Tribolium castaneum: one gene and its partner. The protein of the gene in region 2 purifies or fractionates together with the protein of the main gene of each other region. This does not show direct contact. Links are inferred from orthologs where the notes say so. Each region holds a gene or a part of one and is shown on either strand. Other genes may lie near its edges.

Evidence for each region. The genes of interacting proteins can lie anywhere in the genome.
Region 1: the proteins of Pomp (region 2) and proteasome assembly chaperone 2 purify together in Homo sapiens (co-immunoprecipitation; 6 studies listed by BioGRID and IntAct, counting the BioPlex papers as one, with this or other methods). This does not show direct contact. The link is inferred for Tribolium castaneum from reciprocal best matches to the Homo sapiens genes POMP and PSMG2.

What each region holds. Positions count from the first base shown.
Region 1 is NC_087394.1:29,412,704-29,417,686, forward strand, and holds proteasome assembly chaperone 2, read left to right. Parts: upstream 1-1,800; 5' UTR 1,801-1,901; coding exon 1,902-2,627; 3' UTR 2,628-2,687; downstream 2,688-4,983. Other genes in the region: uncharacterized protein LOC100142369, read right to left, coding at 1-40, 89-296, 346-537, 586-719, 767-980; zinc finger protein OZF, read left to right, coding at 2,836-2,970, 3,020-3,552, 3,598-4,162. UniProt on the Homo sapiens protein: Chaperone protein which promotes assembly of the 20S proteasome as part of a heterodimer with PSMG1.
Region 2 is NC_087402.1:10,194,693-10,200,003, reverse strand, and holds Pomp (proteasome maturation protein), read left to right. Parts: upstream 1-2,801; 5' UTR 2,802-2,904; coding exon 2,905-2,907; intron 2,908-2,956; coding exon 2,957-3,115; intron 3,116-3,161; coding exon 3,162-3,425; 3' UTR 3,426-3,478; downstream 3,479-5,311. Other genes in the region: putative divalent cation/proton antiporter TMEM165, read right to left, coding at 22-98, 152-257, 304-477, 523-698, 879-1,092, 1,144-1,272; uncharacterized protein LOC103312852, read left to right, coding at 1,900-1,911, 1,957-2,589; lysophospholipase-like protein 1, read right to left, coding at 3,479-3,961, 4,009-4,130, 4,176-4,257. UniProt on the Homo sapiens protein: Molecular chaperone essential for the assembly of standard proteasomes and immunoproteasomes. Degraded after completion of proteasome maturation. Mediates the association of 20S preproteasome with the endoplasmic reticulum.

The DNA of each region.
Region 1 (4,983 bases), on a different chromosome or scaffold from region 2:
TGTTGGTGCAGTTTCAAAAACGACGTTATCATATTTATTACTAGAGTGTTTAGTGTTATAAGGGGTTAATTAATTTGTTATTGCTCACCTAGCAGAAGGCCAGTGACGTAGGGACCACTCATTCTGCTGAAGCACATACACTTAACGAATTGGAAGACGTGTGGTGCAAAAACTTCGTCAAATAAGACTTGAGACTTGAGTGCTTGGCTTAATAAATGGTCCAAAAACTGGGCAAGAATCTGTTCGGCGCCCTTTGCAAAACTTGTTGGTTTCATAAAGAGGAATTTTCCGGTATTCTACAAATAATAAGTGAATTAATTCCTGATGGTTTTGTGCCTAGTTTACTTTAAGTTCTTCCTCCAGTAAGTCATACTGCATTTGCTGGACGACTTGACTTGCATTTTCCCGCTCAAAATCGTAAACTGCGCCAATTGATAACTTTTTGTAACCACTCAGGTCGACAAAAAGCTGGAGAATGGAAATAATAGCAGTTTCTTTATTGGACTTGTAGGCGTCCATCAGCTCAATTGCGATGCTCTAAAAGCGATAAAATGTAGTCAGTGTAACAAAAACTGTTACCTTTACTTCTAACTGGTCAGGTTGAGTCATTATTTTAAAATAAAGGCTCTCTTCATTTTTTGGTTTCAAGGCGCTCCAGAAATTCTCCCATTTGAGAGGTTTTACAGTTCGATCTCTAATGATCGAAGCTTCTGAAGGAGCTACAAACCAGTTATGTTTATGACTATATATTTGTTTTAAACTTTACATTCGGACGGAGATGATGTTCCGTAATCGATAGTTCCACTTGTGGTATTATCGTTGTTGTTTTCATCTCCCATCGGTTCTTCTCCCCTTGAAATGGTGGAAATACTTGGGGAAGAGACATTGGGGGACCCACTCTGAGGTGTGCTGGTGGCTCGGGTGTCTTGAGATGCGCGCTCGCGCTCATCGGCACGTAAAATTCTCATTAAATGAGACATTTTTACACGAAAATAAGCAAGAAAATCACTTGAGTGGTTTTTACCGCCAAGAAAAAACGTTAGGTGCCCACAAATTGTGGAGCGGCTGTACCAGATTTGAACTGGCCAATGGAGTGCAGGATTCACCGGCCATGCTGTGAGCGCTGCCAACCCATGGTATTATGTATTTAAAACATTTTCAAAGTATTCCGTTCCTCTCAAAATAATTTGCGAATTTTGCATTCGTACCACGATGAGGATGTTGAAAGTTCAGAAATTTTGAGAATATTGGAATGCAAGGTTGAAATGTACCGGCCGTTTTGAGAACAGTGGAACCAACCAACACAAATTAAAACGTGGGAAAAGTCTTGTTTGTGTCACCTCTAATCTCTGTGTGTGGTCTGTGGTTTGTGTTTATTATTTTTTCACAATTTATACCTACGGCCTTAATCTGTATCTACGGTAAGTACAACAGTAGTCTTATTGCTATTGCTGTTTTTGTGTGGTGGGAAATTAAAGAATGAACTTGTATTATGTGGAGAAAACTAATACAAATTAGGACCTCAAAAATTTATTAGAATTAAATAAGAGTGTTTCTAGATCATTAATGGTTTAATTGATGGTTTATTATCAATTTTACAATTAATGGTGGTAGAAGTGTGGCACGACTGTTTTTCTCAGACATGTGATACCTCCAATATTAGGAGGCACTTTTATCAAGACATTTGTGCTTACATAAAGCGATTAGAAATAAAATGAAAACAAAAATATTTAAAGATTGTGGGTGCAAATTTTAAAATAAATAATAATGATAATGAACTTGGGCCGCATGGGGTAATGCAGGTGCCTGTAAGCGTCAACTGTCAAAAATTATTTGCTTGTCATTAACCTTACTTTTCCTATTCAAAATAAACATTTTTGTGGCTTGTGAGCATCATAATTATGGCCGAATTATTTAAATTCAGCCAAAAACCCAACTTGGAGGGCTTCACTTTACTGATCCCCAGTGTTTCCGTCGGGAATGTGCCCCAACTTACAATCGACTTGCTGATAACATCCCTAAATTTCAAGAAAGTGGCCACTATCTGGCACCCCGCCATCGTTTCCTCCGTGGGATCGGACCCTTATCGAACAGACGGGCCCGAAATATGCACAGCATGCGAACTATACATCAAGGAAGATTTAAAAGTAGCCCTTATTCAACTGCGTTCAGCCATAAATGCGAAACTCGCCACCAAGTTCTTCACAGACTTGAAAAACTCCCTCACGCAGTTTAAAATCAAAAGCATTGTAATTCTCGCAAGTTCTTTTGACTACGAGTTGCATGTGGTTAGTAGCAACAAATTCTACTACATCAGTAACCAGGAAATTACCGATGTGATGAAAAGCTTAAACGTGAAGCCGAAGGAAGTGGAGTTTAACGGCAAATACTTGGTCCACGGATCTGGGTTTGCAGTCAAGTTATTTGAGGTGTTGGAGAGTAATTTTGAGTGTACAGTTTTGATCAAATACGTGTCAGAGGGTGACAACAGACCTGACGCAATTGCTTGCATAAATGTGTTGAACAAGTTTGTTAACGGCTTTACAAAGTGTAATGTGACGGAGATAAAATTTCCAAGTTCGTGGAATTGTGTCTTTGGGGGACCTCCACCTCTAGGGATTTATTAAAAAAGTGTATATATTTATTATAATTGTTTTTTGCATAAATATACTTTTTGAGTATTATCATTAGTTCGTTTTTTTAACTTTTGAAGAGAAATTTAAAACTTGCTAGGGTTTTTCGCGGCGTCATAGTGGTGACAAGTCAAAAACATCAACAACTTTAATCATAACCTTAGATTTACGACTATTTAAAAGATAGGTTTTTTGCGATAAAATGGATTTTAAGTGTCGTTTTTGTTTAATTAAAACTGAACCGGGCTCCTCTGTCAACCTTTTTGAATCTGGCTTTGTTGGACGAGGTAATGAAATTATCTGCGATGCAGTAATGAGTTTTGCACCAGAAGTTAAAGTAATTCTTTTCTGTGAGTTTCCTTTATATTTGCTATGCTTTTGTGCAGATTTCTCCTGAAGATGATTTCCCACAGTCGGTGTGTAAAGAGTGTCTCCACAAACTAAACAGTTGCATTGAATTTAGAACATTGATAATAGCATCAGACGCTAAATTAAAAAACCAGAATATAATAATGAAGCTTAAGGAAGCAATCACTTCTGCGTTAAGTTTTGAAGAGCCTACTCAAGAAGAAACAATTGGCACTAAAGAAGAAGGCGCTAGTGAATTTATTGACGTTCAAAATATTTATTTGGAAGAATGTAAAGATGAAAAACTTGTACCAATTAAAAAAAAGCACAAACGCGAAGCTTGCGAAGACAAGAAACCCGTGATAAAAAAGCACAGATGTGAAGAGTGTGATTTACTATTTAGGTACAGATATCAGTATATTGCCCACAAACATAAGCACACTGGTGACATGCCTTATCGTTGCGATTTATGTGATAAGGGCTTTGGGCTGAATTACCTCTTAACCAATCATAGGAGGATCCACTTTGAGGAACGTCCCTTCAAGTGTGAGGACTGTGACAAAGCATTCAAGTAAACACCTCTTGTTAATAATTCCTCTACGTTTAAATTTTGAAGGTTTCAGAGCTGTCTGGTCCTTCACAAAAGAATCCACAAAGGAATAAAACCATACAAATGCGATTTGTGTGACAAGAGTTTCGTCCAATCAGGCGGTCTGCAGGTGCACAGGAGAAGACACACCGGGGAAAAGCCCTACGTGTGCGAGTTTTGCAGCAAAACGTTCGCAGGCTCTGATTCCCTGTGTAAGCATCTGAAGACACACCAGGACGGGCCTTCAGTGTTTTGTCCAGTTTGTGATAAGGGTTATAAGAACGAGTATTACATGAAATTGCATTTGAAGCAATGTCACACCAATGAAAAGCGTTACAGTTGTGAAATTTGTCAGAAAAAGTTTACGGCTAAGCCTAGTTTGAATGTGCATATGAGGATACACAGTGGAGTTAAGCCTTTTGAGTGTAAAGTGTGCAACAAAAGTTTTACTCAGTCTAGTGTTTTGATGAGGCATATGAGGACGCATTCAGGGGAAACCCCCTATCCCTGCAACTTGTGCGAGAAAAGGTTTGCCTACTCGCACCATCTTTTAAAACATGTGCAGAAAGAACATCCAGAGATTAGTTCTTAAATTAATTGTGTGAGAAATGTCTGTATTTTTTTTGTAAAATTTCTATAATAAAATTTATAAAAATTTCCGTGTTTTATTTGATTTCATTTTTAATGCTTAATTTTTTAACTCTTATGAGAAGAAAAAAATTATTTAAATTTTTTTCTTGTTTTGCAATGTCCTTAGTCTGATCTAATTTTTAACATTATTATTAGAAGTATAATTTGCCACAGAAACGTAAAGACTTGTACTGAGATGCAAGTTTAGACTTTTGTTTTTAGGAACAAAGAAGAAGAATATAAAAATCACGTCAGATGATTGTTTTCGAATTAACTCCACCTAAAAATGGTAGTTCTGTGACTAAATTAATTAAAAAAAGAAAGAAATACTACAATACTGTAGTACAGTAAAACCTCCTATGGACACCTCCGAATAACGGACACCTCGTCACAACGGACTTTTTTGTAGGAACGCAACAAAAACATTAGAAAATGATTAAAGAAAACCTTACAACGGACAAAAAATCCCCAATTACTATAATATTATATCAATTTACCTTTTACAAGGGACAGACCGAAAGCGTGGTGGTGAAACATTTGTTTCAAGAACCTGGTAGAAATTAATAAAAAATTCTATACCGAAAATCCAGAATTAAATATCGATAAGTGTATGAAATTTTTTTTAAGAAAAACGTAATGAAAAGATTGATTGTGTTAAAGGGAAAACTTGTCTTAGAGGGACAGTAAACTCATGCTGTCTTAATATTTTGAACCTTTTAAAAAATAGTTGTAATTATGTGTTATGCCAAAAATTATTATAAAAAACACGGCTCCTAAAAACAA
Region 2 (5,311 bases):
TAAACAATTACGGTTTCGTTTTTAACCCCCCATATTAGGGTCAAAAAATAGGGCAGAAAAGGCAAACAGGAGAAACACAACACCACCAATTATGGTCACTGGAATTACAAAAACAGTTATACTTTTTTTAATTTTATAACTGAGAAAATACCTGTCCTGACTGAAATTCTTTGCGCAATCATACGCCCCCCTAACACAGCCAACCCTGTACAAATCGAATGCCCCGCAATCCCCCCAATAATAACCCCATAAACATCCTGCAACAAATTTTTAACCAAAAATTAAAAAAATATGAAAAATTACTTCTCGGGCTCCTAAAATAATCGTTGTAAGTTGCGACCTGTCCCCCCATTCGGCTAAAAACGTTAAAGTGAACGACTGCAAGAAAATCCTCGAAATAAGGGAAAAGATACTATCGCTTTTTGGTTTTCGGGGGGCGCCTGACTCAGGGTCAGGCAACATTGCTTGTTTTTCATACTACAAATTAAATTCAAGGATTTTTAAAACCGGGGATTCCTTCACCTCCTCCTCTTTTTTGCGCAAGTCCGACTGGACCTCTTCTAACTCCTCCTGGCCTTCCCCGGGCGACATCGCGCAGCCCTCCTTTAACATCTTCAACCCGAAAATTGCAAACAAAGCTGTGCTAATGTAAAAAGTGTAGGCTCGGGGAATAACGTTGGCAAGCCATCCAAACAGAGCTAATAAAAACTTCCAATTCAATTTTTGTCCAAACTATGACTTTGAAATTAAGTTGGCGATAACTCGTTGCCAACTTAATTTCAAATCATGGGTCACTTTGCATTGAGAAAAAACTGTTATCTGTTTATTTTCTTATCACGTTTATCTTGATTAATTGCCCTAGTTGTGTAAATTCCTACCTGACAAGACTGTCATTAAGGCAAGCGCTGAAATAGCCCCTGCGAAAACAGTCGTTCTAGGATGCCTCATTGCCATGATAGCAGCTATAAAAAATGTTTTATCTCCGATCTCTGACACGAGAATAACAGAAAAAGAGGCAACGAATGCGTGAATGAAGCCGAAATTTTCCACAGCAATGATCTTTCCGGGTCCATCATCAGACGAGGCTGCGCTCTAATAAAAATATTCATTTTATTGACATAACCTCACTTTGGGGTTACTTACAGGAAGGCCATTGACTTCGGGACTCTCTTCCTTGGGTTCTAACTCCGCATAAATTGTTCTTAAATAGATTAAATATAATAAAGGCGCTACCCAAATTCGGTTTATTGAAGAGATTAATTTGCCCTTCATCGTTTTAAAATATCTTCACTAATAAAAATGAGATTAATAACTTCTGGTTGTAATCACATTCATTGGCATTTTTGATCAGAGAAATTAAAGGCAAGTTGGATTTTAATTGTTAAAAATAAATAAACTCATCACACAAACCACACTATACGGCGGTAATTTGACAACTGTCAACCAATGACAGGTTGGCAAATTTCGGAATGTGTCTAATGGCACGAACCGTGAAATTTGAATAATAATTACACAAAAACATCACATTCTATTTTAATTTATCACTACTAACATTGGTATTAACACGTTTTAAAGAAAGGTAATTAGAATTATAACTCTACGGTGTGAAAATCGTGACCTGACAATAGTGGTGGTTAAAGCAACACGCCGAGTTAAATGGAGCGAAAATTAAATTTTGGGATAAAGAAAGTGAAACAAATATTAGCATTTCTCACGCGGAAGCTAAAACCTACAATTTACTAATATGTATCATATTCTCAAAATATGGAAAGTTTGAACTGTTTATTATTTGGCGGCAATTATGCAACAGTTCGGATCAATCCAAAATTGCACGTTTGAAAACGGTATAAAACGTAGTCAAATCAGGAGAAAAGCATCAGTTTTTATTAGAATTTCACAATGAACAGAGTGGTATGTATCTGAGGGTTGAAACTATTGCTCAAATTATTGTTTTAGACGATTTTTCTTCTCCTTCTTGTGATAGCTGCGTGCCAGTCATTTTTCCTTCAAAGTAAAGACATAAAAAGGATGTTGCGGTACTTCCCCAAAGCTTTCGATATTGAAACAACGCGCAGTCGGCCTCTCCGGACCCGAAATCGAGAACCGGAACCAATTCACCATGATTACATCGATAGTTACGACAGACAAGATAATGGAGAGCCCTCAAAATACACAAAAAGTACCAAAGGACGAAACAGGAAACCAAATTACCATCACTGCGACCACCCCGATCACTACCACCACCATCACCACCCAGAAGATCGCGTACAAACGCAGCGCAATAACAAAAATACGAAATATGAAGACAGTGAGGATTACGACACTGATAAGAAGAAATATAAAAAGAAAATGATTTTGAACGAAGAAAAGGAAAATGCTGACGATCAAAAGGACAAAAAGGATTACATAACTGGAGTTTTAGTGACCATTCCGAAAATTAAAGGGAGTGGGGACGCAGAAAGTTATTTGAAAAGCGGCAAACACAATGTGTTCTTCCAGCAACCACTAAAGACTGAAGATGAGGATTATCACCACTATCACCGTCATCATATTCCAGGAGACGAAGATTTTGACTCATATTTCTATTAATTGTGAAGTTATTGATAATAAACAAACCAACTTTTTACAACACGTTTTTTTGTTCGGCCTTAATTCAAATTTGAAACAGTGGGGCCAATTGTGTCATGACTTTACAAAAATGATTTTAAAATTGTTTAAAATAAAAAAAACAGTTTGAAATGCATAATAAATGGGAATTATTCAGTGTTTTTGGTTTTAATTACTTGAAGCAAAAATTATTTAAATTTGGTTCAGGGGCGCCGCCTGGTGGTCGCTACATGTAGCACAATTTGACATAGGTTTTTGACAGTGCTTATTCATTATTTTGTATTGAATTTGTTTAAAATGGTGCGAGAAAATAAAGTTAATTTGGACACCTAACCAGGAATTGTTTCAGAGTTTCGCACTTCCGTCTGTTAAGTCAAAGCCGGGCCAGCCCGAGGACTTTTGCATCAATGAGGGCAAGTTTGGGGTCCCTGAGGCATTCACCGGTGGTTTGTCCTCTGTTAGGGCTAGCCTAGACGTGCCTCATCCCCTCATGTTGTCAGAATTGAATGTAAGAAGGTCCTTACGTGAGTCAAGTGTTGAAATTTTTGTTCCAGTATCGAAAAAATCTAGACAAAATGAACATGACAATATTGAGGAATACACAAGGTTTGCATGCCCCTCTCAGGATTGCAATGGAGCAAAAGGCGGTGAAAAAAGTGGGTCATTTGCCGTTCTTGCCCTCACACAACGTATTACATGAGTCCCTGACCGGTCGTGATATTGAAATGGATTCTACTGATGTGTTTAACACTCCAGAATTTGTTGAAATTGCTGGACTACCTCATGCTGTGGTGGAAAAATCTTTGGGGATTTTGTAGTTACGAACATTTTTTTTAATAAAATATATTTACTAAATGTAATAAATAAAAAATTAAGGCCCTCGTTCTGGTGGTATCACATTTTTGATCCACTCCAGTAATTTCTCCAGTTCATTCTTTTTCAATTCGTGTAAAGTATTGTTCAGTGGCACAAATTCCCCTTTCACTCCCAGTTTCGTAAGATTATTGAACGTCTCCTCGCCCCACTCTTGGGGCACCAGCTCGTCTCTGTCCCCATGACACATAAAAAGTGGGGTATTCACAGCTTGAATATTTTTATAAACTTCCGATTCATTGTTAAGAAACGACGATAAGGCAAACACCCCCGCCAAGCCTGGAGTGAACCTATAGGCAGTGTGTAGGGCCAGAGCGCCCCCCATGGAAAACCCCCCAATTACAATCCTGTTCAGGGGAATCCCGGCATCAATTTCTTCCGAAATCAATGATTTAATATCATGTTTTATGTCTTCCAACGTCTCGACGTGTTCAGGGACCTCAGGTGTGATGTCGTAGCGATTAAACCAAACATTACTCAACTGAAAAACAAATTGGAGTCATTTATTTCCACACTGGAGTGTCATACGGCTCCGTCTAATGGTGTATAAGGCCTCACGGGGGCTGTAGGAAAAATGAATTTAACGTGAGGTAGCGAGAAATCCCTGATTAGAAATTTGATCCAATCCAGAATTCCTTTACCCGTGTCCCCTGTAAAAACAAGGTGAAAACCTGCAACGTGATGTAACCTCTCACCTGAGCCGTGTAAAAAGATAACAGAACCGGTATTGCTGGAATTTGTTGGTTTGATGATGCGCAAGGGCTTTATTCGGGACATTTTGTGCTTATTTAAGTTTTTTGAGCAAGTGATTGATGTGTAAAATGATAAAAAGTCATCTATTATAGGCTAGTAAAGAAACACATCGTGTGTATTGCTGGTTGTCTACCATACCTGTAAGTTTTGGGGCCGGTTTATATACAGAGTGTCTAAAAATTGGTGAATTCCGAGTTCAGAGTGTCCTTCAACGCCGTTCTAGATAATTACTTCAGTAGTCCAAATATAGAAACAAAATAAAGATTCGGGGCTTCTCCACAAAGATACATTGGTTTGAAGATGCACTGAGGTGAACTATGAATTGCTTTTTCTTCAAATGCAGGCTAAAAATGTCAGTATTTATTGTTGTTTATGATGTAGTTGATTGTGGAAAATAATAATGTAAAACAATATTTCGAAAAATTGGCTTCATTTCACTTTTCCTAAAAATGAAACGACAAATTACAAAAATTTAAGATTTTTTTACATTGTTATTTTCCACAATTATCATTACTATAAATAAAAATAAACACTGAAACTTTTAGCCTGCATTGGAAAAATGCAGTTCAAAGAGTTCAAAGTGCTTCCCCACATTGGTTTGAAGGTGCACTTCAAGTGCAAATGCGTTTTCTTCAAATGCAGGCTTTTTTGTGGTTATTGTTGTTTATGATGTAGTTGATTGGGGAAAATAGTAATGTAAAACAAATTTTCGAAAAAATTGCTTCATTTTGGAGTAAAAAAAGCAATTTTTTAAAATTGTTTTACATTATTATTCTCCACAATCATCTTCACTATAAATTAAAATAAACACTGAAGCTTTTAGCTTGCACTGAAAAAAATGCATTTAAAAAAGTGATTCTCTACAATGCTCCGAACTCGGAAAACGCCAGTTTGAACCAATCAACTGCTCTGATTCACAATCTAAACCTACAATTTAATTAATTTGTTAACTTGCCCTTAATTTATTACTTTGTACTAAATAATTGAAAAATTAGAAATTTTTAGTTTAGAATTTTTATTAGATCTTTTGGTTGAGTAAGGATATTTATTCATTACTCTCATTACTGACATTATACTC